Linked DNA regions of Stegostoma tigrinum. The protein of the gene in region 1 purifies or fractionates together with the protein of each later gene. This does not show direct contact. Links are inferred from orthologs where the notes say so. Each region holds a gene or a part of one and is shown on either strand. Other genes may lie near its edges.

The links.
Region 2: the proteins of camlg (region 1) and tumor necrosis factor receptor superfamily member 13B purify together in Homo sapiens (affinity purification with western blotting; 3 studies listed by BioGRID and IntAct, with this or other methods). This does not show direct contact. The link is inferred for Stegostoma tigrinum from reciprocal best matches to the Homo sapiens genes CAMLG and TNFRSF13B.

Annotation. Positions count from the first base shown.
Region 1 is NC_081366.1:30,782,578-30,798,275, reverse strand, and holds the start of camlg (calcium signal-modulating cyclophilin ligand), read right to left. Parts: upstream 7,669-15,698; 5' UTR 7,635-7,668; coding exon 7,463-7,634; intron 1,686-7,462; coding exon 1,213-1,685; intron 1-1,212. UniProt on the Homo sapiens protein: Required for the post-translational delivery of tail-anchored (TA) proteins to the endoplasmic reticulum.
Region 2 is NC_081376.1:20,342,822-20,358,611, forward strand, and holds the start of tumor necrosis factor receptor superfamily member 13B, read right to left. Parts: upstream 5,747-15,790; 5' UTR 5,643-5,746; coding exon 5,554-5,642; intron 4,008-5,553; coding exon 3,874-4,007; intron 836-3,873; coding exon 719-835; intron 1-718. UniProt on the Homo sapiens protein: Receptor for TNFSF13/APRIL and TNFSF13B/TALL1/BAFF/BLYS that binds both ligands with similar high affinity. Mediates calcineurin-dependent activation of NF-AT, as well as activation of NF-kappa-B and AP-1.

The DNA.
Region 1 (15,698 bases):
CCAAGATGGAGATGTAATGCTGCTGTCACAGCCCGACCAGCCTGTCTGAATAGCTGTTAACAGTAGTGCTATCCTTTGTGTTACTTTTTTTAGTGATATGCTCCTAACCCCACTTTTCCCAAAGGTCCAGCTATTTGTATTGCACAATGTTCTTTAATACGATGTTGCACTGGAACGCAACTATTGTGTTATAGCAGAATCCCCTGTATCAAAGAATTGAAAACAATTTGCAATTCTTTTGCCTGCTGTCCTATAAGAAACATTAAAATACAAAATGCAGACAAAGATTAAATAGTTAAGCCTTGTAAATTCAAAAAAGGCACCAGAAAGCTTAGGGAAACAAAACTTCCAGCAGAAGCCAAGTTCTCCTGAGGTATGTCCTAAAAAAATACATTGTATGATACTCAATACACTAGTCATTGCAGCTTGCAATTATATTTACCAGCAACCTGTCTGCAGGCTGTGTCCACAACTGTAGACGGCACCAAGTTGGGAGGCACAGTAAACAGCGTAGATGTAGGGGAGAATTACATGGGGGCACGGATAGAATAAACAAGTAGGCAAAACTCTTAACAGATAAAGTTCAACATGTAGCAGGTTCGGTCTTACATCCGACCTAAGACAGACAATTTTCTAGGAATGTGGAGCAATAAAGACATACAGTATGAACTTCCATGTACAATTCATTAAAAGCCAATGGACAGGCACAATCCAAAATGGACTGGAAAATCTGTCGTCAATCCAAGAGAGACGGAATACAAAGATGAGGAAAATATGCTTTCTGTAGAGCATGGCTCAACAAATTCAAGTCTGTATGCCATTCTGGGACCGTTCCTCTTGTAGGATATACTGGTTTTGGAAGCAGCAGGATACATTCACACAAAAGTGATTGTGGGGTTAAAGGATTCAACTGTGATGACAGGCTGCATCACTAAGTATAGGTGGTGAGAGGTCACCTAGTCACAACATATAAAAACAAGAAAAAGAAAAATACCATTTATTGTCCAGGAACCAACTAAAAAATATTTACTTCGCTATTTCGTACAAAATTGGGTATATTTTTTCCAGTGAAGATGAGCAGAATCCCTTTCAGTTACTAAGCAACAATGCAGGAGAGCTATAAACGTCTACCAAAAATATACTAACGTACATGAAAAACTTCTGTCCTCAATGCACAAATATTTTATACCAGAAACAAGCTGTGATACTCACCAAGTATTTGCAAATAAAGACTCGAACCATTAAGGCTAGCAGCGCACTCCCTACTAATCGGAAAACACGGAATGTACCAAACTCTTCAGCTCCGCCTCCATTTTCATGATTGGACTTCTCATTCATCAGCTGATTTCTAAGTTTCATTGCTTCATCAAATCTTGATATATACTGCTCAATACCACGACGTGGAGCACGCTGGGCCTGCTCTATCGGTACATCAGATTTGCCTAAGTGCCGATTTCCTGGCCCTAAACTATTGTCAGCCTCATTAATTTTGCTAAGCGAGTCTCTTGTGTCTACAGAATATGGTTGTTGAAGCTCTTTTCCGTTAGTGTAATGAATGGATGCCACTGAGCCATCAGCAGTTTCATTTGAGATTCCTGGGGTTCTTTTTGGAAGGCTAGAATTTTGCAGCGACTCTGTCTTCTCCAGTTCAAACGGTGGAAGAGAATCTGTTCGGTTCTCCTCTTCTGAAATAGAAGGAAAAATGAGAACGATTATATTTGTCTTTCCTATTAACAGCATTCGAAATTTACAGAAATATTCATCTGAGCCTTTTTCAAGTCAGCAGGACATTCCTGAATTCTTTACAGTGATGTTCACCATTATTGGAAGTTCAGGTAATTTTCTTCTTCACCAATGCCCTATTTCATGCCTGATTAGACACTGTGCAAGTAAAAAGTGTGTAATTTCTTATATCATGTGCCTTAATGCTAACCTAAGAAAAACACTCCACACTGCATTTGTTTTATTTAGGGACTTGGTGGGTTACTAAAGAGATTTTCATATCAGCCTAGGACGGATTCTAACATATCCCCAGTTAAGTGAGGAATATACTAACTTAATTAACTGCTCACTCTTAGAAAAAGTTAACTTGCACACTATTTCTGAAGGCTATTTCTGATGTGAAGGTATTAAGCAAAAACAGTGTTGGCATTCATCCATAATTGATCATATACTTGTTTCATCTGGTGAGGGTTCAAGTCAAAACAACATACAATAGTTGCCACATCTATCAGGGACTGACTAACACTACGTCTGCTCTCCTGTATCCCACAATTAAAACAATAAAGCAGAAGTGCAAGTGGTTCAAGTATTCCTGATGCATTCTCAACTGTTTTGTACTACCATCGTCACTCTAACTTTGTCTGTATGTTTTGAAAGGTACAAATCATTAACACCAAGCTAGATCTAAGATAGTAAAGTGTGGAGCTGGATGAACACAGTAGGCCAAGCAGCATCTCAGGAGCACAAAAGCTGACGTTTCGGGCCTAGACCCTTCATCAGAGAGGGGGATGGGGTGAGGGTTCTGGAATAAATAGGGAGAGAAGGGGAGGCGGACCAAAGATGGAGAGAAAAGAAGATAGGTAGAGAGGAGAGTATAGGTGGGGAAGTAGGGAGGGGATAGGTCAGTCCAGGGAAGACGGACAAGTCAAGGAGGTGGGATGAGGTTAGTAGGTAGCAGGTGGAGGTGTGGCTTGAGGTGGGAGAAAGGGATGGGTGAGAGGAAGAATAGGTTAGGGAGGCAGAGACAGGCTGGGCTGGTTTTGGGATGCAGTGGGGGAGGGGATGAGCTGGGCTGGTTTTGGGATGCAGTGGGGGAAGGGGAGATTTTGAAGCTGGTGAAGTCCACATTGATATCATTGGGCTGAAGGGTTCCCACGCAATAAACAACTGCACCTCCCAGTCGCAAACCATTTCAACTCCCCCTCCCATTCTTTAGATGACATGTCCATCATGGGCCTCCTGCAGTGCCACAATGATGACACCCGAAGGTTGCAGGAACAGCAACTCATATTCCACTTGGGAACCCTGCAGCCCAATGGTATCAATTTGGACTGCACCAGCTTCAAAAGCTCCCCTTCCCCCACCGCATCCCAAAACCAGCCCAGCTCATCCCCTCCCCCCACTGCATCGCAAAACCAGTCCAGCCTGTCTCTGCCTCCCTAATCTATTCTTCCTCTCACCCATCCCTTTCTCCCACCTCAAGCCACACCTCCATCTCCTACCTACTAACCTCATCCCACCTCCTTGACCTGTCCATCTTCCCTGGACTGACCTATCCCCTCCCTACCTCCCCACCTATACTCTCCTCTCCACTTATCTTCTTTTCTCTCCATCTTCGGTCCGCTCCCCTTCTCTCCCTATTTATTCCAGAACCCTCACCCCATCCCCCTCTCTGATGAAGGGTCTAGGCCTGAAACGTCAGCTTTTGTGCTCCTGAGATGCTGCTTGGCCTGCTGTGTTCATCCAGCTTCACACTTTATTATCTTGGATTCTCCATCATCTGCAGTTCCCATTATCTCTGATACCAAGCTAGGTCTAAATCAGTTCACAAGAATGTATCAACCACCATCTTCAGATTGCATTATAATGGTTTCTCTGGAACTGTAGTGGAATCAGTCATAATTGGGATGCAAGAATAAATATTCTGAAGTTATGCTTCACTAAGAGAAAAATATGCAAAACATTCCTCTCAGATAGTTAAACCTGTATTGGAAACCTGTAAATAAGTTGGCTTAAACAAAACATTTGAACCACCATGTTTCCAATGGGAGAACTTGGCTACGACAATTTTCAATGCTGCTTCACAAGCTGAGGTGGTCAAGAATTAAAGAATAATGTGAAATGAACATCCACGTTCGTGATTATAACAGATATCATGCCAGATTTGTTTATAAAAATGTTATACAAGTGGTTAAAGAAAAGATGATAAAGGAATATTCAAATAGGTTGACCAAAATGAATTTTAAGACAGTTGCTCCTGACTAGCACCAAACCCACATGGTACCAGGCTAAGTGATTCCACAGAAGCGCAACACCACTTGGTGTTGAGTGGACTACCAAAGTGTAACAGGAAATGTGTAAAAACGTGGAACTATGCAAGTCAGTTAGCAAAGGAAAAACAGGTTGTAACATTTCAAGTATGTATTTTTTGAGTATACACAATATTTAAATCAGATAGATTTCTATAACTTGTAAATGCTGACTGACCAGCTGTGTTCCTAGCATTTCCTTTTCTCAATGAAATTTCAATAAATTATCTTTTGCCTTTTATTACCAGGCAAAGCATATTTTACATAGCTTAAAGTAACAAACTATTGTTACAGGCTACTAGACTAGGTGGGATTGAGGTTCACAAGGAAGAGGTATTAGAAATCCTTCAGAAGGTGAAGATAGATAAGTCCCCTGGGCCGGATGGGATTTATCCTAGGATCCTCTGGGAAGCCAGGGAGGAGATTGCCGAACCTTTGGCATTGCTCTTTAACTCGTCATTGTCTACAGGAATAGTGCTAGATGACTGGAGGATAGCAAATGTGATTCCCCTGTTCAAGAAGCGGAGTAGAGACAACCCTGGTAATTATAGACCAGTGAGCCTTACCTCAGTTGGTGGTAAAGTGTTGGAAAAGGTTATAAGGGAAAGGATTTATAATCATCTAGAAAAGAATAAATTGATTAGGGATAGTCAGCACAGTTTTGTGAAGGGAAGGTCGTGCCTCACAAACCTTATTTAGTTCTTTGAGAAGGTGACCAAACAGGTAGATGAGAGTAAACCGGTTGATGTGGTGTATATGGATTTCAGCAAGGCGTTCGATAAGGTTCCCCACAATAGGCTATTGTACAAAATGCGGAGGAATGGAATTGTGGGAGATATAGCAGTTTGAATCGGAAATTGGCTTGCTGAAAGACGACAGAGGGTGGTAGTTGATGGGAAATGTTCATCCTGGAGACCAGTTACTAGTGGTGTACCGCAAGGGTCGATGATGGGTCCACTGCTGTTTGTCATTTTTATAAATGACCTGGATGAGGGAATAGAAGTAAATTTGCAGGCGACACTAAGGTCGGTGGAGTTGTGGATAGTGACAAAGGATGCTGTAGGTTGCAGAGAGACATAGATAAGCTGCAGAGCTGGGCTGAGGTGGCAAATGGAGTTTAATGCAGACAAGTGTGAGGTGATACACTTTGGTAGGAGTAACCGGAAGGCAAAGTACAGGGCTAATGTTAAGATTCTTAGCAGTGTAGATGAGCAGAGAGATCTCGGTGTCCATGTACACAGATCCTTGAAAGTTGCCACCCAGGTTGACAGGGCTGTTAAGGAGGCATACAGTGTTTTAGCTTTTATTAATAGAGGGATCGAGTTCCGGAACCAAGAGGTTATGGTGAAGCTGTACAAAACTTTGGTGTGGCTGCACTTGGAGTATTGTGTACAGTTCTGGTCACCGCATTATAAGAAGGATGTGGAAGCTTTGGAAAGGGTGCAGAGGAGATTTACTAGGATGTTGCCTGGTATGGAGGGAAGGATTTACGAGAAAAGGCTGAGGGACTTGAGGCTGTTTTCATTAGAGAGAAGGTGGTTGAGAGGTAACTTAATTGAAACATATAAAATAATCAGAGGGTTAGATAGGGACAGCCTTTTTCCTAGGATGGTGATGGCGAGCACGAGGGGGCATAGCTTTAAATTGAGGGGTGAAAGATATAGGACAGATGTCAGAGGTAGTTTCTTTACTGAGAGTAGTAAGGGAATGGAACACTTTGCCTGCAATGGTAGTAGATTGGCCAACTTTAGGTACATTTAAGTCGTCATTAGACAAGCATATGGACGTATATGGAATACATGGAACATCGAGGGCCGAAGGGCCTGTACTGTGCTATTATGTTCTATGTTCTATTATTTCTGGGCATTTGAAATACAGATAATGATTGTTAATAGATGCATGTAATAGGTACAAAGACAACTTACTGAATAGCTGATGCCTCATTGCATTGGTCACAATGAGTAAGGGATTGTACAAAAAAAAGATGCTTGCTATTTTTGGGACAGTGACTAATCAACAGTAGGTCACTGTAGAATCCAGATGCACAGGAAGCGTGTGATCCAGGGTCTGGCATGGCTGTTTACAGAGTTTGAGACCACTGGAGAGGAAATTAATAGATCTAGAGAAAGAGCAGCACTCCAAAAGCTTGTGATTTGAAATTTCCATTTGAAATGCCCAGAAACAGAACAATGTCTGTTTGTTACCGTAACAATTTGTTACTGGTAGAAATGAATAGAATAACATTTTTATGAAATGTTCATGTATACATATCTGATAAATTAGCCATTATTCCAGATTGCTGAAAATCCTATCTAAATTAGATAGGCCAAAACAATGGGTTCTAGTCCTTTGCTCTGAAAAATTTCCATTATTGCACATCAACCCACTCTTCCAAAATAAGTCAGATCAGAAATGTTTATTTTATCCAAAAAAAAATTTTCAGCCACAAGTATTGTCACAACACAAAATTACTGCAATTCATTAGTGTGCACTGTATGATATCTGTAAAAATGTCAAATAAAAACCAAAAGAACTGCAGAGTGCTGCAAATCAGGACCAAAATCAAAGTTGCTGGAAAAGCTCGGCAGGTCTGGCAGCATTTGTAAAGGAGAAAATCAGAATCAACATTTTGGGTCCAGTGACCCTTCCTCAGATGTAAAAATATCAGCTTCTCATGGGTTTATAATTATCTATTGTGAAAACAGAATATGTACTCTTCCAACATTGACAGCTGTAAATATCACTTATTGTAAGTAGTACAGTTCAAGCCCCTCCTGAATTAATACTGTCAGATAGACAAACACCATCCAGACACAGTTTGATTTTGCCATTTGAAAATTCTGCCTCCTTCAGACTATTTATCCTGCACTCAGTGAAGACAGAAAATTAATACTGCCCCACCCTCTCTTTCTTCCCTTAAACTCCACTCACAAATAAGGCATCTTTATCTTGAATGTAGACATACCAATACTTTCCAAACCCTCAAAGCCAATGTTTTAAACACTGTCTTAAGATATAGTTAAGCCAATCAACCAGGCATCAGGAGAACAATCAAAACGAAGGCTAAAAAGGTGATTTTTAAACTAACCATCACCGCCGCACCCCTCCTCTCAAGCTTGAGTCGTTAGTACAAGAATTTATCACATTTTCAGAACCACACTCCTCATCAGGCTCGCTCCCACCGCGCCCTGGAAATGTGCTGCATTTGCTTTCAATAAGAGTGGGCTTTGTTGCTTTGGCGGAGAACAGCCGGCCCGGCTATTGATTTTGATTCATGGAGCTGGTGGAAATAAAACGAGGCTGGGGTGAGGAGTGATGGTGCCCCCTGTGTTTACAGCCGCCCTCTCTAACCCTGCCCGGGGTGGGTCGGTTGCTAAGGGGCTGAAGCACGGGGAGGGTAGGACCAGGCCGCAATCCCTACTCCCACTCACCCGGGCCCGGCCCGCTCCTACTGAAACCCATGATACGGTTCAGCCGCTCCTCCGAGTTCAGCAGCAGCTTTCTCCGGCGGAGCTCGGCTCTCCTCCGCTCCGAGCTCATTTTCTTCTTCTGCTGTTGCTGCTGCTGCTGCTGCTGCTCCTCCGGATCGGCGCCGCCCTCCATCCCTCCCGCTGACAGCGATAGGCGCGGGTGGAGCCGGCGGACGCACTCTGATGATGTGTCACCAGGGGCTCAGCACCAGCACATGCTGTCATTTGCTGCTGGCTGTGGGAATCGCAATCACACATGTTCACACAACAAATCACCGACCTCAACTTTTTCCAAATTATTTTAGCAAATGCATAATGCACTTAAGTAAGGCAAAACGCTGGCTGAAATCTCGTATAATACAGAAGGGCTTGGAAATGTATTGTGGATGCTGGGGCCAGGAATGGGCAATATCAAATTGACAAAGTGTGGAGCTGGATGAACACAGCAGGCCAAGCAGCATCTCAGGAGCACAAAAGCTGACGTTTCGGGCCTAGACCCTTCATCAGAGCCCGAAACATCAGCTTTTGTGCTCCTAAGATGCTGCTTGGCCTGCTGTGTTCATCCAGCTTCACACTTTGTTATCTCGGATTCTCCAGCATCTGCAGTTCCCATTATCTCTGATCACAATATCAAATTGACCACCCGTTATCCACGGCTCCTGTTCCGTTCCAAATAAAAACCGATAGAACTGTGGATGCTGTAAATCAGAGTTAAGGTCTGGTGACCTTTCCTCAGAGCTCACCGGACCTGAAATGTTAACTCTGATTTTTCCCTTCACAGATGCTGCCAGACCTGCTGAGCCTTTCCAGCAACTTTGTTTTTGTTCCTGTTCAGTTCCATTGCAGTCAATGCATTTAAATATCAGACGCTGCTTAATGCAGGCAGGCCACCCATTCTAGCATTATTATCCAAAACAAATATGTGCCCATGTTGCTGGAAAAGCAACATTAATGACAAATGGCATTATGTTGTAAGGGCCAAGGGGATAGTAATCAGACAAGTAACAAACGATGTATTGAACCTGCTGACCATGGTAATACTTGTTATTTAACAATGGAACATCTGCCTTATATAGGCTGAGGGACAATTCTCTGATACCTCCTCCTCCCTCTCCCTGTGGCATAACCTTCGCTTTGAACATTAAGTAATTGTTTCAAGAACAATCATGGACCTCATCTTCTCTGGAGACCTAGCCTTCATGATTTCCCAACATTACTGATTCTCTCAATACCACACAACTTCCTTCCTAAGAACATCAAATAGAAACTGCTGCATAGGACACCCACAGTTTCAACGTGTTCTTGCCTTGTGGAACTCTTTTTTCCCTTTCTCCTCTCTACCTAGTGTTTTCCAAACCACCTCTGTAATTCTTCTAACACCATTTGTCAATTTAAAGGATTGTTCTTTCTCTGTCCTGACCATTACCTTTTCAGCAGGATTATCCAATTCCCTCACATTACTATCCTCCACAAGGATGGTGTAAAGTTCTCGACTTTAAGCTTGAACAGTGTCCAAAACAGCCTTCACTCACCACTGCTTTCCTCAATCTATTAATATATTCACATTTTGAACAACTCCTCATTTGATTCCCTTGCCCCCTCCAAATTAAAAAAAGGTTTCTTTAGAAAACTGTGTGAGTCCTAATCATTCATACTTTTTAATGTGCTGAATCTGTGTAATACTCTTTGTTGCAAATTGACTCAAAGTCCTCAATGACTTCCTTGGCTCAATTGACTGCACCCCTGAGTCAAAAAATGATTGCTTCAAGTCTCACTCCAAAGACTAAATTTATGGCTGTTCAATATGCTAATGACAGAAAGATAAATATATGCATAAGCTGTGAGAAAGACATGAGAATTCTACAAAGGATATGGATAGATTAAGTGAGTTTGCAAAACATTGCCAGATGAAGTACAATGTGTGAAAATGTGAATTTGTACACTTTGGCAGAGAGAAGTTTTAAAAAGCTTATTGGACCACGTAAGATCCCACGGAGACTTGGCTGAGTGGATACTGAAAGGATGTTTCCACTTGGGGAAGAGACTATAACTAGGAGGACACAGTTTAAAATAAGTGGTGTTCCATCTAAAAGGGAGATGAGAATAACTTATTTCTCTTAGACAATTGTGAGTTTGTGTAATTCTGTTCCCCACAGAGCAGTGAAGTCAGAGTCCTTGAATAATTTTAAAATGCTGTTAGAAAGTCTTGGCTAACAAGAGAATCAATGATTACAACGAATAGAAAGGAAAGTAGAGATAAGGCTACTCTTTGAGACAAAATAGTCTTATTCTCTCGAATCTATTGCAAAATTATATCTTCTTATTCCCGATATATCCTCATGAATCTACTGTCTCGTCTCTCTTACTTTACAGTCCACTCTACAATAGGCATCCCATACTACACTGAATACTCCATCTTTTGCCCAGCCACTTCCTTGTGTAATTTTATCAGAATCATTTTGCTGCTGTAAAACAGATATTCATTTTTGTTCCTTTCCCTTCAATTATGTCAATATTGAATGTCATTTTGCTTAATACAGACAAGTTCTCTTCACATAGATATTGAGAACTCAAGGGAACCAATACTGAGGTGTGCAGTATACCAGATCATGTCCATTCTAAGCAACATTTGTGAACTCTAACACTCTGCGCTGAATGGTTAACTCAGAGCCAATTTAGAGAGGCCAATCACCAATACTTAAAGGCATTCCTGTAATTGAAATTAATATTTCATAGTGTAATGCTTGTGGAATTGCAGCTCATTCTTTTGACTTACCAAAGGCATCATGCTTATTTATAAAGAAGCTTTAAAAGCAGAGCTGATTAGATGAATCTTGATATGCATAAAAGCAGATGCACAACCAACTCAATATACTGAGAATGTACAAGTCATGAAATAGTTAGGAAAATGCTATAAAAATATATCAAAGATAGAAGAAAAAGTTCAAGAGAGTCCAAAATTTCTGATAAAAGAAGAACAGATTAATAAATCAAAAAGTTAGAAGAAAATGTTTAAACATAGCTGTAAAATAACACGGTGTGAAGCTGGATGAACACAGCAGGCCTAGCAGCATCAGAGGAGCAGGTACATTTGATGTTTTGGGTGGGAACGCCTCTTCAGGTCCTGACCCGAAATGTCAAACTGTCCTGCTCTGCTGATGCTGCTTGGCCTGCTGTGTTCATCCAGCTTCACACCGTGTTATCTCAGATTCTCCAGCATCGGCAGTTCCTACTATCTCTATAGTTGCAAAATAAATGTCTTTAAATTAGCTGTACTGACCTATTGGAAGGTCATGATGGAATAAATAAGTTCCAGAGAGAAATGCAACCAGGTACAGCAAAAGTTTTATTTTTTTCTATTCAGTTATTGGGTCATTAATCACTGAACAAAGTCTCAATAGGCTACCAATGTACATTCAACAAACAAAACATAAATGTTTATTACAAAATAAAAAAGTAGGAATTATATTATACTATTGAAGAATCATTTCCAACCACCTTACTACAAATATCAGAAATAAAGATTCTATTCTTACCCTCAAAACAACTTTGCAGACATTCAAATCTCAGTGAAGGGTCATCCTTTTTCCACTTTAAAACTTCTTGTTCAGTTGGCACAGTGTAATCAGTTCCTTTTGGGCAAATTATTGAATTCACTCTATACCTTTTTTTAGCTAATATTTCTCTCTAAGACCCTTAAGAGAATCGCTAATGAAACTCCCTAATTATTTAACATAAGGGATCCTTAAACTCACCTTTGTCACATCTTTCTGCTTCTGAAGTTTTCTTCTAAAGACATTTTCCCCAGCTCTGACCCCTGGAGGCTATTATTAACAGCACTTCTGCTGTGTTAAGAGCCTCTTCTCTTTGACTGAACAGGTTCACCAGTTCCTCTTCTGAATGGTTCTGACTTTCTGTACCAGTGGAGCCCTGTTGCTTGGTGATAAAAGTATTGTTTTCCCCTCCTACTCTCTTGTCTACTGCATTGAACTGTTTACATCAAGGATTTAGCTACCTCATTGAACTGTTTACATCAAGGATTTAGCTACCTCATTGAACTGCATGTAAATAACTTTCAGATACTCTGGCATGATTCTCAGAACAAATCTCAAATCAATCATTAACTATGTATTCTTCCTTCTCAACACACACAATATAGAAACAGAAGTCAATTTTACAGCTGTACATCACTCCTCTACTTTAGAACGTAGGTTTCTAAACAAAAATAACACGATGAAGATTGATGAGCTGATGCCCAAGTAGAATTAAACAAATATAACATAGTAGCTATCATAAAGATGTTGTTCCAGGGTGACGAATACTGTTAACACAATATTTCAAGGTATTTGATGTTCTATAAAAATAGGCTAGAGGAGCTGAGTTAAGCATTATTATTAAAGGAAGGTATCAATCCTGTGGTGAGCAGTGATATTAGTGCAATAGGCAGTGATGTGGAATCAATATGGGTGGAAATAACGAACAGCAAGGGAAAGAATTCACAAATAGGAGTCTTTCGGTCGCCAAAGAGTTGTTTTACTGTAGGACAATATATAAATCAAGAAATAAAAGTGGTCAGCAAGAAGAACAATACAAGTGTCATGAGTGATTCTAATCTGCATATTTGCTGAACAAATCAGTTGGGGAAGGATAACATGCAAAAGTGTTTCTTAGAGCAGTGCATTGAGCTACCTACCAGAGAAAAGGTTATGTTTGGATCTAAAAATGTGTACTGTAGTAGGATTAATAGGCAGTCTCATGGATAAGGATCCTTTGGAGATAGTAATCACAATATTATAGAATTACAAATTCTGTACAAGGGAGACTCAGGCCTCAAACCAGTGTCTTTAATTTAAATAAGGACAGTCACTGAGAAATGAGGAAAGAGTTGTCTGATGTGAGCTGGGAAAATGGATTAAGGGGAAGGTCAGTAGATGCACAGTGGTTTAAGTGGATATTTCATTATGTTCTACATGCACAATGTAAATCTTTTGGGTTGTGTCCGGAAAACAAACACTGAAAAAGAAATTGTTGTCACAGCCAATGAAACATTAAAGTTAATTTGACATTTGTGATTTTGTCATAGAATAGGATTAATATTATTCTTCTAAAACATAAAGCTTTAATGTAGTTACGCCAATTATTCAAATTTTAAAGTGGGTACGTAATTTACTAATACATAATTTCATAGGGCTTGGGCTTCACTGACAAATAATTTACTAATTATTTTAAAGGATCAGAAGTCAGATGAAAGGATGAAAGAGCTGGTTTTAATGAAGAGATAAATTTGTTCTGATTGAGATCGAGTAGAAATGGATACCCATTTGGATTTCACTGTGAATTGTGGGAGCTATTGGCTCTGCAGCCAGCTTTACACTCCATTCAGTTAGCCGTTACTTTGGCTTCAATGAAAGATCAAATGTAGCCTAAAAAATGCTGTTGATTCATAAGACCATAAGACCATAAGTCATAGGAGCAGAAGTTAGGCCATTCAGCCCATCAAATCTGCTCCGGCATTCAATCATTGCTGATAAGTTTCTCAAGCCCATTCTCCCGCTTTCTCCCCATCATCCTTGCTCCCCTTGATAATCAAGAACTAATCTATCTCTGTCTTAAATAGACTCAATGACCTGGCCTCCACAGCCTTTTGTGGCAATGAATTTCATAGATTCACCACTCTCTGGCTGAAGATGTTTCTCCTTATCTCCATTCTAAAGGATCTTCCCTTTACTCTAAGGCTGTGCCCTCAGGTCCTATTGTCTCCTGCCAATGGAACCATCTTCCTGACTTCCACCCTCTCCAGGCTGTTCAGAATCCTGTAAATTTCATCCTTCTAAACTCCATCAAGTGTAGACCCATAGTCATCAAACGTTCCTCATATGTTAAGCTTTTCATTCCTGAGATCATTTCTGTGAACCTCCTCTGGGACCACTCCAGGGCTACTACATCCTTCCTGATGTCTGGGGCCCAAAATTGCCCACAGTACTCTAAATGTGGTCTGAACAGAGCTTTATAAAGCCTCAGAATCACATCTCTGCCTTTATGTTCTGGACTTCCTGAAGTAAATGCCATGATATGGAGATGCCAGTGTTGGACTGGGTGGACAATGTCAGAAATCACATAACACCAGATTATTGTCCAACAGGTTTGTTTAAAAATGCAAGCTTTTGGACCCTCACTCCTTATTCATTGTATTTGCCTTCCTAACTATGGATTCAACCTACAAGTTTACCTTAAGAGAATTTGGGCTTGGACTTCTTTGCACTTCAGAATTTCTGAATTTCAGAAACTAGCTTATGTCCTACCAAAGTGCATGATCTTACACTTTCCCACGTGGCATTCTACTTGCCACGTCTTTGCCCACACTCCTAACCTGTCTAAATATTTCTGTAGCCTCCTCACCTCCTCCATACTACCTGCCCCTTCACTTATCTTTGCACCATCTGCAAACTTAGCCAGAATTCCCTCAGTTCCTTCATCTAGATATAAAGTGAAAGGTTGTGGTCCCACAAGATTGTGGATCACAGCTAAACACCAGCTGGCCTGCCACCCTGAGAAGGACCATTTTATCTCCACTCTCTGCTTTCTGCCAGACAGCCAATCTATTATCCACGCTAGTACTTACCTCGAACAGCATGGCCCCTTATCTTACTCAGCAGCCTCCTGTATGGCGCCTTGTTAAAGGCATCTGGGAGTCCAGGTAGATAACATCTATTGGTTCTCCCTGGTCTAACCTCTTCATTACCTCCTCAAAGAATTCTAACAAAGTTGTTAGGCATGACCTCTTCTTGATGAAATCATGCTGACTTTGCCCATTCTATCATGTACTTCCAAGTATGCAGAAATCGCATCCTTCTCGATAGACTCCAAAATCTTACCAATGACCGAGGTAAGGCTAATTGACCAATAACTTCCCGTCTTTTGCCTCACTTCCTTCTTAAATGGGGGGTTTATATTAGCAATTTTCTAGTGCTGTGGGACCCATGCTAACTTCAGTGATTCCTGAAAGATCACCACTAACGTGTGCACTATCTCTTCAGCTATCTCCCTCAGAACTTTGGGGTATAGTCCATCTGGTCCAGTGAATTTATCCACCTTCAGATCTTTCAGTTTTTCCAACATCTTTTCCTTGTTGATGGCCTCCATACGCACATCTTCCCCCAACTCTGTTGAATTTTTGTGGTATTACTGGCGTCTTCCACTGTGAAGACTGATGCAAAGTACTCATTCGGTTCCTCAACTATTTCTTTGTTCCCCAATATTGCTTTTCCCAGTGTCATTTTCCTATGTCTACTTTTGCCTCTCTTTTTCCCTTTATACATCTAAAGATTCATTTTTGACTTGTTTGACCAATCACTAGAGGTCAATTTCACCTCCTAGTGTTGAACAGTAAATAGAAAATGGGGGATAGTAATTCAATCTTGTAAATATGTTACGGCTCCACCGATGCAACTCACCATAAATTGAGCTCTGCTATTTCTGGAGCTGTACCAAATGTTAAAGATTTTTTTCTAAGGTAAACACAGTACCCGAATTTAACTGACTTTCAAACCAAGGTTGATAGGAAAGACCATCTAGGTTTGTACTTAATGAAAATTATTATTTATTATAAACAAATAGATGATAATTGCAAGTATATAGATATAAACTATTGACATATGACACTGCTAAACTTTAATCCCTCTATAAAGACTTCCCTAAAAACACACACACACAAGCAACAGCAATTGATGATAGGTGGAGGTAGAAGCAACTGGAAAGTTACTTCAGAGATAATGGGAACTGATGCTGGAGAATCCAAGATAACAAAGTGTGAAGCTGGATGAACACAGCAGGCCAAGCAGCATCTTAGGAGCACAAAAGCTGACGTTTCAGACCTAGACCCTTCATCAGAAAAGGGGGATGGGGAGACGGTTCTGAAATAAATAGGGAGAGAGGGGGAGGAGGATCGAAGATAGCTAGAGGAGAAGGTAGGTGGAGAGGAGACAGACAAGTTAAAGGGGTGGGGATGGAGCCTGTAGAGGTGAGTGTATGTAGGGAGGTAGGGAGGGGATAGGTCAGTCCATGGAGGGCGGACAAGTCAAGGGGGCGGGATGAGATTAGTAGGTAGGAAATGGAGGTGCGGCTTGAGCGCGATCAGGGGGCGGTAGGAGGAGGTGTCGGAGAGTTGGCATCTGGCCTCAGCAATGTAGAGGTCAGT
Region 2 (15,790 bases), on another chromosome or scaffold:
TCATTTTTCAAATTGGCACTGACACTATTTGGTTCTGATTCTAAATCTCAATCTAATTGAAAGCATCCTCTCAATTTCTTATGCATGGCTCCTGAAAAATTAGTGGAATCCAGACTGCTAAAACTAGCATTTCATCTACTTGGGCTACATCTATCCTGCAGTCTTAAGTCTATTATTCCTCTGTAGTACCAGGTTTACCTGAAATGTAGTCTAAAGGCAGTGAACGATCACCAAGCAGCTTATCCACATTCAGTGCTGCAAGTGCTCAGATATACAGGGACAGAAAATTGGTAATGAAAATAAACCATAACAACACAACCCTGTCACTTGAGTGCAATTGACTGCACAGTCGCTGTAGTGCCAGAGGATTATGAGAACACCAACTGGTGATGAGCTTCACCTGAGGGTCACCATGATTCAGTTGAGGGGTGAGATTGAGAAAGTGGGACATCAGCCAGTGAGAAGATCAAATCTGCAGTGTTTCACCTTGCTTTGAAAACAGCCATTCAGCCAACTGAGTTAATTGGCTGCTATTGATATTATAAACTGCTGGAAATGTCTTTGTGATTGTCCAGTGCGTGAATACAGTAATCAGGATGGATATATATGCAGCAAAGTCCTGTGCAGAAAAGTACTGTTTTTAATAGCCAAAATAATCAAGATCCTGATTTATGTACTTGTGCTTACAAAAATAACTTTTTGTTTACTAATTTCTTACCGTAGCAAACTTCTGAGCACTGTTGAGGATGTTGCCCACACACATCTGAGCACTTGATGCATTTGCGCAGCAGTTTGTCCCAATAAAATCCTGCAGCCTCATTGCAGCTCCAACTTTCTGATTTAAAAAGTTAGTTACAAAAGGCAAGCAAGTCAACTTATATTTTCCATAGATCACTTACTGCTATAAAACACAAATAATAAGAGAATTGAGGAGAGGATTAAGTAGTAAATTTTCATCTTCGCCTGGGTTGTTATTCATAGGTGTGAATCTCTGTCCCATTCATTTCAATGCAATGAAAATCAGGTTTAACAATGGATGAGATTACTGATCTCGGGTAGATAAAGGTAAAACATTCTATACAACTGTTTATAGCTATCGGGTTAGCATTTAGGAGCTGGGGTATTCTTCACTGGGTAAACGTTGATATTCGGGTGATATAATTTTTAAAATGAAGGGAATAAATCCTGTTTAGATTGATAGATTGAGTTAAATTAGAAAAAAATTAGGTTGTGCTCTTGTCAAAATACAAAAAAAGAATCTAAGGGTGGGTGGTATTTAATCTCAAGGCATCATGAACTCTGGAATAGATTGCTGTGTCTGATAGTTATGGATTCACTACTGTTTAACGAGAGCTGAGCAAGTTCTGTATAATTGAAAGAATAAAATAGAATAGAATTAGCTTTATTATCATGTTACCATGTTACAGGTACATGGGAGTAACTAATTAGTTGCTTCTGTCTCCTAAAGCATGTTTTCAGCAGGATTGGTAAAGAACATGAGTTTTGCTTAAAGATCTCTGACGCCAGCATTGGTAATTCTTACTAGAACAGTGTGGAGCTGGAGGAACACAGCAGGCAGGCACCATCAGAGGAGCAGGAAAGCTGATGTTTTGGGTCCCAACCCCCCTCCAGCAAAATGGTTTCACTTAACTTGGCCTAAAGTTTTTTTATTTCCTCCTCTCTACTTTTTTTCTGTCAGAACTTCGCACAATTCACCAGCTTCAAAATCTCCCCTTCCCCCCACCGCATCCCAAAACCAGCCCAGTTCGTCCCCTCCCCCCACTGCACCACACAACCAGCCTAGCTTTTCCCCTCCACCCACTGCAGCCCAAAACCAGTCCAACCTGTGTCTGCCTCCCTAACCTGTTCTTCCTCTCACCCATCCCTTCCTCCCACTCCAAGCCGCACCACCATCTCCTACCTACTAACCTCATCCCACCTCCTTTACCTGTCCGTCTTCCCTGGACTGATCTATCCCCTCCCTATCTCCCCACCTATACTCTCCTCTCCACCTATCTTCTTTTCTCTCCATCTTCGGTCCGCCTCCCCCCCTCTCCCTATTTATTCCAGAACCCTCACCCCATCCCCCTCTCTGGATGGGTCTAGGCCCGAAATGTCAGCTTTTGTGCTCCTGAGATGCTGCTGGGCCTGCTGTGTTCATCCAGCCTCCACATTTTATTATCTTAGATTCTCCAGCATCTGCAGTTCCCATTATCACTGATACAATTTGACCGGGTTTTGGATTAGATTGGCACAGCCTGTAGATGCATCAACTACCTTTAGTTTCCCTGTCTTTTCTATTGTCTAGCTTGTAAGTGAGTCCTGCTGATGGAATTCTACCAGGTTAGAATTATAGATCGGTTAGCCTGACGTCAGTGGTGGGTAAGATGCTGGAGTCAATTATAAAAGGTGAAATTACGAATCATTTGGATAGCAGTAACAGGATAGGTCAGAGCCAGCATGGATTTACGAAGGGGAAATTGTGCTTGACTAATCTTCTGGAATTTTTTGAGGATGTAACTGTGAAGATGGACAAGGGAGAGCCAGTGGATGTAGTATACCTGGACTTTTAGAAAGCCTTTGATTAAAGTCCCACACAGGAGATTGGTGAGCAAAATTAGGGCACATGGTATTGGGGGAAAAATACTGGCTTGGATTGAAAATTAGCTGGCTGACAGGAAGCAAAGAGTAGTGATAAACAGGTCCCTTTTGGAACGGCAGGCGGTGACCAGTGGGGTACCACAAGGTTCAGGGCTGGGATCGCAGCTATTTACAATATACATTAATGATATAGATGAAGGCATTAAAACTAATATTAGCAAATTTGCTGATGACACAAAGCTGGGTGGCAGGGTGAAATGTGAGGATGTTATGAGAATACAGGGTGACTTGGACAGGCTAGGTGAGTGGACAGATGCATGGCAGATGCAGTTTAATGTGGATAAATGTGTGGTTATCCACTTTGGTGGCAAGAACAGGAAGGCAGATTACTATTGAAATGGAGTCAAGTTAGGCAAAGGGGAAGTTCAACGAGATCTAGGTGTTCTTGTACATGAGTCAATGAAAGCAAGCATGCAGGTACAGCAGGCAGTGAAGAAAGCTAATAGCATGCTGGCCTTCATAACAAGAGGAATTGAGTATAGGAGCAAAGAGGCCCTTCTGCAGCTGTACAGGGCCCTGATGAGACAGCACCTGGAGTATTGTGTGCAGTTTTGGTCTCCAAATTTGAGGAAGGACATTTTGGCTATTGAGGGAGTGCAGCGTAGGTTCACGACGTCAATTCCCAGAATGGTGGGACTATCATATGTTGAAAGATTGGAGCGACTGGTCTTGTATACGCTTGAGTTTAGGTGGATGAAAGGGGATCTGATTGAGGCGTATAAGATTATTAAGGGATTGGACACTCTGGAGGCAGGAAGTATGTTTCCACTGATGGGGGAGTCCAGAACCAGAGGACACAGTTTTGAAAACAAGGGGTAGGCCATTTAGAACAGAGTTGAGGAGAAACTTCTTCCCCCAGAGAGTGGTGGATATATGGAATGCTCTGCCCCTGAAGGCAGTGGAGGCCTACACTCTGGATACTTTCAAGAAAGAGATGGATAGAGCTCTTAAAGATAGTGGAATCAAGGGTTATGGGGATAAGGCAAGAACAGGATACTGATTGTGGATGATCATGCTGGCTCGAAGGGCCGAATGGCCTACTCCAGCACCTATTGTCGAGAGGATACATATCGAGTCAGAAACAGCCAAAGATTTGATCCTCAGCCTGCTGACGTTGGCTTCCTTTCTTTCTTTGGTACTGAAGAAAGGAATATTTTTCGGCTTAACTTCAAACAAAAAGGCTTCAAAAACATGTAGTGAACGGACACATACCACAATATGTCTTGCACGCACTTTTCCAGTTATGCCCACAATTTGTACACTTGGCGCATCGTCGTAAGAGACGATCCCAGAACTCCTCATCTGAACAGCTGCCCATCCCCTCTCCAACAAGAGGACGGTGGGATCTTTAAAATCAATTAAGATTATTTTGTTACAGATTGATTTAAAATAAGTTTCATAGAGACTTTCATATCCTCAACATTCCAAATAGCTGCGCAACAAATTTCCTGCAAAATAAGCTTTGCAATTATATTCAACAGTGAACGAGATGGTAGGCCATTTAGTCTGATCCGTGATGGAGTTCAACTCATTGATCTGTAGTAGACAGATAAAGAGAATACAATAGATTATGAAAGGTTTCTGAGCCTTGGGAGACTTGGTTACAAAATGATGGCACATTATCTTAAAGTGTGTGTGTTAATGGAAAATGGTTGTGGGGTCAAAACAAGATGAATAATTCTAAATTACTTGATTGACAGCATCAAGTTAATATCATGTGTAGCATAGGTGCATTGGACATCTTTTTTGATTTCATGTAAACGCTTTGAAAATAGGCATGAGGTATTATGTTGAAATGTATCAATATTTGGAGGCATTACAAGCAATGAAAGAAGTCTGAAGATTGCAATAAGTCACAGATGGCTTGCAGAGTGGGAAGAGATGTGACGCACAAGAAGTGTGAAGTATCACATTTTGGAATCTGACAGTTGCTTATTTTAAGAAGGAATTTATTAAATATTGAATCCATTTAAAGAATGTGAGATAAGGATGGGGAAATGCGATTACAGTAGATGATTCCAGATAAGGAGACAATATATGTGCAAAGACACCTTTTTTGTGTTTTCAATTATTGTTTAATTCTGAAGTAAAACCAAAACTTATGCAAGTGGAATATTTAGTCATAGTGGATTCCAAATGCAAAAAGCAATTGACACGGTATATTTTTGAATTAGGTTAAAATAGACCATACTTTGACCCTGCTAGGAGCATTTAAGATGACGCTTTCACATTAATGTGAAATGGTTTCAACTTTGGCCTGATGCTTAACTTTGTGGATAAATTTTGCAGGTTCCACCTTTATTGAAAGTGCCTTGCAAGAAATTAACAGGATTTGTTGCTTTTGGCTGGGATCTCTTACAGAACTCTAGATCTTCATTTCAAGTGAAATCCTACGTGGGAGTAAAGCTGAGTGAGTTGTACCTGCTTGATAGGTTGACCATGTGTGTTGATATATTGAGAGATTGTTACATAAAATCTGCAACAGCCAATAATGTTGCTTTCAAACAATTTATTTTTGTCATTTTATATTTGCATTGGATTTAAATGTAGATTTGATTTTAACTTGCTATTGCCTTCATGTAAATAGCACCATTGCATAATCATGTTTTATTTTTCAATCTTGCTGATCTTTATATTAATTCCTGAACTGCATTCAGCTGATCAACAGCTATAAATCTTATGAATTTTATTCCTGTATCTAAAACTAACCTCACCAAGACATGCATTTTCCACTAAATTGTTTTAGAATTTCATTCCACTCTTGCCCTTTTTTGTTAGATCAGGGTAAATTGTATCTCAAGCTCTTCCATGAATTAATGTCAAGTCCTGTCGTTGAACACCCACCCAGCCCCCCAACGCTTTCAGTGCCTGGACTTGGTGAGATGTACCTACCTGGATAGGAGTGGATAAAGGCAGCAGATTGAAATGATGCAAATATGGCTGTGCCATATTTCTTGCCAGTTACCCCATCTTCTGCTCATTGGAGCTGCCTATTGTGCACCTGTAGCTCTTAAAAAGGAGTCTAAAATGGTGTTGCTAACCTTTCCAGGTTTGACCTAGGTATTTCAGAGATTGAAGCTTAATTTTCTGGACAGTGCTGCAAGGAGAAAAGGTCGTCATGTGAATGTAAAAACTTTTTTTTCTTTGAATAACTTTACAATTCATTTTAAAAATAAGAGGCTGTTTTTCTGTAAGTCAAGAACTGTTGAATTATGTAAGAGTCTGTTTGCTTTCCTGGAGCTGGAAAGCAGAACTACACGGGGACAGCTCTGTTGGATGACCAATAGCAGGAAGGTGGTTGGGCTGAAACATTTTGGAATGTGTCTGGCTGGTGATAACAATACTATTTGAAAAATAGTTGATTGTTCATTAACTCCTCCAGAATGTTGCCGTTCACACACACTGAGCAAACTGTGCAGAGAAAGCTTTACACAGCATCTAATCTTTGTTGGACTTGCCCTGGGGTTGTTTGCCATTTGTGGTTTGGAAGGAACTTTTCCATGCATCTAATTCTGTACCTGATCTTATGTAAAAGGTCCGATTATCGTGCATCCACTGTTTTTTCCTAATCTGCATGGTCATTTGACCATAGTACAACCCTGGAATCCCTGTGTAGGCCAACACAAGTTGTCCTTTTTAATGAGCAAGAAAATATTACGGTACCCAGCTACAAGGGAAAATTAGCTGGTTGTTGTTTTGGTCCAACATGTGCTGTTGCTGATGAGTGTCTGTTTTGTTGCTGCACTCGTGCTAATCTCATTGTGAAATATGATAGCCACACAAATTCACGGAAAAATAAAATAGCCTGTATAGTAATTTTGAGATGTCTGGTATTACAGTGGGAAAACTTGGTAAGAAGGACAAAGCGCATGCATCTTCTAAATGTCCCTATGCATTCACGATTTACTACTGCTAAAGAGCAACTCAACTTATTCAAAGCATCTCTGTGAACATATCCTTCATCCTTAGTTTTATTTTCTGTACCGAACCTGGTAGTTATTTACTCAGTTTCTTTGATTTTCATTAGCCCATTAAGTGCGAATCCTGGAATTCGGGCTTGGACAAGACTTGATAATACAAAATATAGAAATAGGCATCTTGAGCAGTAATAAGATTCACATACTTCGCTGAACACCACTTCTTTTTTGAAGCTCAAAAGATAACATCTCCTACTGAGGAGATAAAGGGACAATATTACTTGGATTCCTTTTTTTTTCTCCACAAGCTATAATATGTGGAGCCTGTTATTTCCCATAATCTTGCACTTCCTTCAACATGCTGCCTGCTTTTGAAACCCAGGCTTCAAACAATGTAGTCATTGCAGCTTTGCATACCTTAATCATACTTCCTGAATCTTTTAAATGTGGTTTGATTTGGCCTTGCTTTGAGTTTTCACAAATAATGTAATGCCTTGTGATATCATTTCAATCAATATTATATGAACGTCGTCTTTCAGAAATTTAAATAAAGTTTAGAAAAAGGATAAGTTCTTGTTTAATGATCTGACAAACTACGCAAATTCTTCAAGTTCTGCATTGGCATGATTGGGTATAAGAGTTAAGTATATTCAAGATAAAACAAAGTAGATTCCAAGAATTGGAAACACACATTACAACAATACATGTATCAAAAAAAAATTGTTTGAATTCAAAGAACCAAAGTGACTTTGAGAATCCTACTGATCATTTTTAATCGAAGTTTCTCTGATTATAGGTTTCAGATTTTAATGCACTCTATCTATTGAGTGTCATTTGGGGCCCCTCGTTAAATTAGGGATTGTGCAGGTATCAATGATTAAGAGAATTTCTACTTGTTTTGAGTGAATGTCAGATTGAACATCTATTGTAAAGTAATGAAGTAAGTAATTCAAGTAGTTGCATTTGTTTTGCTAATAGGAACAACAAAAATATTATTTTGTAGAAGAAATTCTGCCCCGGTATTATCTGCTTCTATTTTTCAGAGTTAAAATTAGCAAAAGGAAAATGTTACATATTGTTATAATTAACAGAGTAGGAATCAAAAGTTTTGATGAGAATACGATTATCTAATATTTTATGGGATCACCTGTCTGTAGTTCAAGTAAAAAAAAATCCCACAACCACTCAAAATCTGGTGTTAAGTAATAAATACAGCCTGTCACCACCTCTTCCAACTTGAAAACATAAACATAAAAGATAAATGGAATAGAGAGTTGCTGCGTTAAATGGTTGTTAGTAAGCTGAAGAGATGAAAGAAAAATGACTCATCTGAAGGTTTTTCTTTTCAAGAAGAAAGAATGCAAGTGTGACTGATTAAATAACAATTAAAGATGGCCTCAGTCATGTTTCCTGCACCTTTGTTAATGAGCCAATTAATTATGGAAGAAAAAATGATCATTGCATGAAAAATTCATTTTTAATTCCAAAATGTGCTTATGAAGCCTGGGATCCACTTAACTGTTCTGAGGAATGGTCACCGGATCCGAAATGTTAACTCTTTTTTTTTTCTTCTTCACAGATGCTACCAGACCTGCTGAGCTTTTCCAGCAACTTGTGTTTTTGTTCTTGCAGCATCCGCAGTCCTTTTGATTTTTATCCGCTTTACTCAGATTCCATTCCTGAACACACTGCAGTTGGCATTAATCCAATAGTTGTGTTGTAATAAAGGTGTATAGTCTGTCTGTGCCAGATTGCACACTTGCAGCAATAGTAACTCCCCTTTTTGTTGTTCACGGTTTAAATTTATGGTTAGGTAATTGCTATATATCTGGTTTGAACTTGGACACAACTGAAATGCTTTGGGTTTTGTTTTATCCTTCCCTCTTTCTGCCTTTATTGTAGGGACTTCCTAGATAGCTACCCTAACACACACATGCTTTGTTAATTTGACTCCTGAAGCCAACTAGTTTTGGACTGTATTCATGTTAGGAATAAAATATGCTGTGGAGTCTTTCAAAGTGCTATCTGACCTGGATTACTTTTGTGATTTTTTTTTTTTGCTTCCATTTTCTCTTGGTGGTTATGTCAGCTGCGGCATTTAACTAACAGATCAATATTTTATTTGTCGACCTGAGTTTTATTTTCTGCACTCTGCAGTGTACCTATTTCCTTCTTCAACTTTCACCAGTATAAGCAAGATCCAAATAATTTAAGTTATTCAAATGTATCCTCTAGGTCAGGAATAAAGCAAGCTAGAAATGTTCGGGTCCATGCAGCATTCTCTGAGAGAGATGGAGTTAATGTTTCAGATGTGAGCTTTCCACAAACGCAGATATAACAATTGCACTGGTCAGCTATTCCATTGTATATATGATCTTTTAAATGCAATCGGTGAAACTTTTGGCGAAGGACTGAAATCCTTAGTGCTGTGGGGAAGGGCTGATTCAGTGAGACAGCTGTATTTAAATAAAGCTGAACCAAAATCCCAGTGCGATGATGCAAATTTGTTTTAAATAAGGAAATTTTGTGGAGAGGGAATCTAATAGTTCAAACGGATCCTTTCAAAAATGGTTGAATACTATTTTCTTAACATTTGACATACTAACAACATGCTTAAGAACTTTATACATTTGGATATGGTACTCACATTCTCTTCGTTCCAGGTGGCTATCTTCTGCTGTTTCTCAGTACATTTGCCTGTGTCAATCAGAATGTGAAACTTCTCGTTTTAACAGAAGGAAGAACTTCCAGGGGCTTTCCCTGGTCAGCTTACAGCAAATTTCGAGACTGAATTGAAATGCAGATATTTTATCATGAATTTGTGCATAATCATTAGTCATTTAACCATTTTGTAAAGATTTCAAACTCTCTTGCAGTACTATTTCTGACAAGTGCAGATGTAAACTGAAAATGCCAGAAACAGTTTGATGTGTGAACAGAATTTTACTTTTACTTTAAAGAATCAATAAGCTGTGTATTTTTTTTAACCCATTTGTCATTGATTTTCTGGAGTTCAAACCGAAGCTATTGAATACACAAAAAGAAATATAAGCCTGCTTCCCTTTGATCAATATCAAGGATAACTTGACATTGATACTTCAAACGTGGCCCAGGATGTACACCAGTAACCCCACCACTACTTGAGGAACAAGCAAAGGGCTAAGATTGCTCTTGAGCCATTCCAGAAAAGTGATAGGGGAGAGTCAAAAAGGTGATTAGGATGGTATCTCCATCGGCTCACGTTTTTGCCTACGATGATGGAAATGCCCTTCTTCTTATCGCACAGTTGACTTCAGCTGTACCCTTACATCCATGTCACTGGAAAATGCAATGGCTCTTCTCATCCCTCAGATCCCATTTGCTCACTGCTGCTGATCACAAATTGTGTTGCGCTGATCTCTTAGACTTCTCCCTCTGCATTGATTTCATGTAACTTCACACCTCCTCCACTATTACCAGCACACAACTTGGCAGGCTATTTATTAAAAATTCTTCAAGAATGAACAAGGAAAGAAGAATAAAAGAAGGAGATGGAGGGCTGTTTCTCAGGCTGGAGGCCTATGACTAGCAATGTCCCACAGTACTGGGTCTGCTAGTTTTTGTCATTTATATAAATGATTTGGACAAGACTATAGGAGGCATGGTTAACTTTTTGGATGACACCAAAAATTGGCCTTATAGTGGATAGTGAAGGTTATCCAAGGTTAGAGATCTTGATCAATTGATCAATGCACTGAGTGGCAGATGGAATTTAATTTGGATAAATGCAAGGTACTGTATTTTGATAATACAAACAAGGACAGGACTTGTATAATTAATAGTAGAAGCCTGGGTGGTGTTGTAGAACAGATAGACCATGGGGTTCAAGTGCATAATTCTTTTTAAGTTGTAGCACAAGTAGACAGGGTGGTCAAGAAGGTGTTAGCATGCTTGCCTTCATTGCTTAAACCTTGGAGTGTAAGAGTTGGGATGCCTTGTTGACATTACACAGGATGTTGGTGAGGCCTCTTCTGTATATAGTCTAGTTGCCCTATTATAGGAAGGATATGATTATTGAATTGGAGAGAGTTTGGAAAAACTATCAGGATGTTGCCAAGAATGGAGGATTTAAGATCTAAAAAAAGACTAGAAAGAGTGGGACTTTTTTCACTTGAGTGTAGGAGATTAGGTGACTTTATTGATGTTTATAAAGTTGAGGGGAATGGAAAAAGTGAATGACAAGGGTTTTTCCCCTAGGGTGAGGAGTTCAAAGCTATAGGGAATATTTTCATGGTAAGAGGAAAAAAAAATTTGCAAAGGACATGATGGGTAACTTTTTTTTTTGCACAGTGATTTGTGTGTGGAATGAACTGCCAGTGAAAGTGGTGGGTGCAGATGCATTTATGATATTTGAAAGACATTTGGATAAGTTCATGATTAGGTAAAGTTTGGGAGGATGTGGGCCAAATGTCGGCAGGTGGGACTGTTTTAGTTTGGGAACATGGTCAGCATGGACTGGTTGGACCGATGGGTCGTACAGCATGGAATCTGACTCGCGTAATACTTTGTTTTTGTTCCTTATTTAGTTCACATACTGACGTTCTTGTGGCTGTTCTGCTACTCCTACATAGTGCTTTGGCAGAGGTAGAGGCAAGCTGCACAGATTCCTGTTCTGATTGCCCATGAGTATCTCAGCAATGTTCTCTGGGCTTTGGAGGTCCTAAGATTGCTCTGCCTGGTTGAATTCAATTGGACTATCCCTTTTTATTAATGGACTGGACAACTCGGGCAATTTTCTATATTGCCATATAGGTGCCAGTGAAGTATTTACACTAGTTTAGGTTTGCTATGAGTGCTGGATAGAAAGTCTTAAGTACTTTTGCCAGAATGCCCTCAGAGCCCGTAGACTTTGCGGTCTCCAGTGCCTTCAGCTGCTACTTAATATTACTTGGAAAGGAGTGAATTAAATTACCTGAAGGCTGGCTTCTGTGATGACGGGCATCTCAGGAGGAGGCCAAGATGGATCATCCACTTAGTCCTTCTAGCTGAGGACGGTTGCAAAATCTTCAGTCTTATCACCTTGCATTGAATTGCTGAATAGCCCCCTTCATTGAAGATGTGTAGATTTGTGGAGCTTCCTCCTTGAGTTATTTAATTGTTCATGACCATTCACCAGTGAGATATGGTAGGGCATTCGAGTTTAAATCTATCTGTTGATTTTGGAATTACTTAGCTCTATCTATATTAATGTTAATCTGTTTAATATGAAGACTGGACTTGGTCTGCACAAGGACTGTGCATTGTTCACTACTTTCAAAGCTCTCATGAACAGACTGTGTGACAGATTGGTGATCTAGGTGTTTCCCTTGTTAGATCCCTTGCTGTGTTGCCAGTCCAGGCTAGTCAATATGGCCTTCAGTACATCACCAACTCAATCAGTACTGGTACTAGTGAGCCACTCTTGGTGGCCAATGAAGTCACCCAATTCCGAGGGTAAATTCTTTGCCCTGGCCGCAATCAGTGCTTCCCCCAAGTGCTATCCAACATCGAGAAGTACTGATTCATCTGCTTAACGGTGTGGTAACTGGTAATCACCAGGAGATATCACTTCTCTATGCTTGACCTGATGCTGCAAAACTTAGTGAAGTGTGGAGTTGATGTTGAGATGGGTATATTCAAAATGGTTTGTAGTTGTGCTTTAACTTGCAACAATTTTAATTTCCCACCTGTTCTTTGGGATCAAACTCCTCCCCTTTGTATCAATGGGTAAGTGTTATCAGAACCTATGACTCAAAAAATGCTAATTTATTTTAAAGCACTGTTCAGTTTGACTGTGTTTCAGCAATGTTTGAAAAAATTATAAATGCATTTCTTAGTCTGTGAGCCCTTTTGAATTAGTTTGTTGCAGGGGAGTTGATTGGATAGCTTTCATAATGTGAGTCAACCACAGCATTGAAGGCCAAATTAGTCAAACAGAATACGTGACAAAGAAGGGGCGGGGGATTTGCTTTCTTGTTCACTTTTTCGTACAGAAAAGGTTGTGTGTGAAACCCATTTGGAAGCTGTGCAACTAAAAGGGGAAGCCTCAATGCATAAATAGAATCATGAATCGCAACCTCTCCACTCAGAGAGGAAATGAGATGATTCACGTTGTATTAGTTTTAGCTGCATTTCCTGCTAGCAAAATTAGCTTGAAACAAACAAAACAGCAACCTTTAAAGCTTCTTCTCGTTTTTCAGCTGCAGACAAATGAAGCATTGGTACAATGAATAGATTTTTGTGCTGAGATTAATGTGCTGAAATCTTAATTCAGCAACGAAATATGTCTTGCAAGATATTAAAATAGTTAAATTCTTAGAGTGGAACCTTATTGGAGTCTGAACGCTGTAGGCTATGGTGTTGTTTGTGGTACAATTAGGTAAATTGTATTTTTTTTCACAAGTGGTGTGGCAAGTTGCCAGTGGAGAGGGATTATACCTTATTAAAAACCTTGTTGACAGACAAACACTCGTCATTAATATTCAGCTTTCTATTTTCCTAATCTTTCCCATCTGACCCATCAAGCTAGACAGCGAGAAAACTGGGTATGGAAACAACAGCAGGTGCATGAATTCAGCTCATTGGTGCTCAATGTCTCCAGGTAACCTCCATGAGCAATCGCCAAGCACACCCCCAATCCATAGACATTGGCATCCAATATGTGTCTTCACCTGACAGCCCTCATGATGCATCTCTGATTCACTTACAGGCTACGTCTGCACCTCAGGCTGAAATGGCAACCGTTAGTGTCCTTGCTGCAGCAATACAATGTGTGCGCTCAGAGATGTACACCAACTGGACCAGGCTGTATCTCTGGGCTCTTCACTCACTGTCATAGCACTCACTCACTCTGAGCTTACCTTGAGACTCTCAGCATTTCTACCATACCTTGCCTTGGCTTTTTGTGCTTTTAATATTAAGAAACATGGAAGTGTGTGGCACAACTGATTTGATTGCAGGTGGTGAGGTGTCCTAAATATGTGACGACACAATGTGAGGGTATGCAGGGTTAGTGGACCCACCAGAAGGGCTGAATAACAGCAAGTGAGGATAGATGCTGCAGACCCAACAGCAGAGACCGAGTGAGTGTGGGTTGCTGAGAGCACAGGTTCCAATATTTCCTCTTTAACAGTGGACATATCTGTAGGAGGTTGAGACGTCATCTTGTAGAAGTTTATAACATCACAAGGGATACAGATAAGGGTTAATGGGAGTTGCCTTTTCCCTAGAATAAAAGATTTCAAGACTAGGGGCTACATTTTTAGGGTGAGGGAGAAATTTTAGAAAAGATATAAATGGCATCGACTGCCGTTTGCTTATGGAGTAAACCTTTCATGAGGAAGTGGTGGCTGTGGGAACAATTATAATGTTAAAAAGACATTTGGTTAAGTACATGAATAGAAAAGGTTTGGTGGGATATGGGCACATAGAACTAGCTTAATTTGGGATTATGTTTGGCGTGAACTGATTGGACCCAAGGCACTGTTGCTGTGTTACTTGACCCTGACTGAGACAGCTTTGACTCAGGTGCCAACCTCAGGCCAGTTGGCAAGGTCTGGTATCGTGGCCTCCTTTACCAGTCCTGAAGCAAAATTGAGACCTGTGAGTCTGCACCACCCCATCCAGCAGGTTTGGTTGATTGGCAGGATTTCTGCCCCCCTGCACTTTGATCTTGGGGGGGAAAAGTCAGCAACTGGCCTGATAGTTTTACACTTTCTACAGGCAGACTTCTCCAAAGGATACACTGTAGGGGTATTAGTGATTGGCTGGACAATGGGCAAGAACCCCTGTCCACCTACTGCCCACACACTCTCATCTGGATTCACAAGACTTGACATTTTGATATTCTGTAAATGTTAGTGAACATTCAATGTTAATGTAATAGACATGAGGACTTGTGTTTCGAAATCACTAAGGTTTCATTGCTCCATAGCTAAACAATTTTCAGGATTCATGTGCAACTATACGCAAGTTGTAATTTATGTGAAATGGAATTTTTTTCATTGATATAATAATTTGAAACCAGACAAATTAATGCACCCATAATCAACGATCCACAGCTTACAGAAGAAAGTACAAACAAGGTCGAAGGCACAGTTCTAGAAACAGGTGCTGCATTGCCTTACATTTGTGTACAGCACAGGATGCCTCAGCTGGGCCACTTTTTAAAAACTCTTTCATTTGATCACAAAAATAAATACAGATTATCAAGGCCATTCAGCCCATCTAATTCATCCGTGTATAGAAACCTAAAGTCCTATGCTATTGTCTGTAAACTAAGGCCATCAGTCTCAGGGAAATCTGCGATAGTGCATTCCCCAATTTGACAACTGTCCCCAGGTTAATCGCAAATGTTTCCTTTTCTCTCTGTCAATGACTTGGTGAATTGCTGTGATCACCTAACCTGTCCAAATTTTCAGTTGCCAAGGCCAGGGAGATCTGTCTCTGCAGTTGGCCTGTACCAAATCCAACTGAGGCAGCTTAAGGTAACCTGGGTGTTGAATGCACAAGAATTGGCATTAGATTTTGTCACGTGTACTCCAGTATAGGGGTACGGGAGTACAGTGCAAAGTTTAGTGTTGCCATTCCTGGTAACATCTTAGGTACAAAATCTTAGTGCAAAGTAGAGGTGGGGGGGGGGGGGGGGGGGGTGCGGGGTGCAGAAAAGCATTTACGAGTTGAATATTACAGTCCTCCTAAGGTGCATAGCCATGCCCAAAAAATTTCCAAAAGATCTCCCTCCTGGTTTGATTTTTTTTCTGTCTTCCCCACCCCCACCCCATGCACAACATCACTGTAGACTGCCTGTTGCTGCCTCTGCAAGTACTGAGGGACCTCTCCTCCACACTGCAGAAACTCCTTCTCCATAGAAGATAAGTAGATTTAAAGTAAGAGGGACAAGAAAGTACAAGTAGGGAAAAAAAAAGTACGAAGCTGACAGGGAAGATGAGCACTGGGCAGGAGCCAATGCACTGCGGTACTGCTCCTCTGACCACCAATTTAAAGTGTTGAGCAGCTTACACGGCTGCAGTGTGTTTCAGTAAACCTGCACATTTTAAAAGAAGCTCACATTCTAAACAGAGGCAGCAGACATTACTGACTCTCTCCGCTGCCAAACAGCAGTGACAGAAATGGGATAACAGGGCAAAGTCCAAAGATGTGCATGTTTGGTGGATTGGCCGTGCTAAATTGCC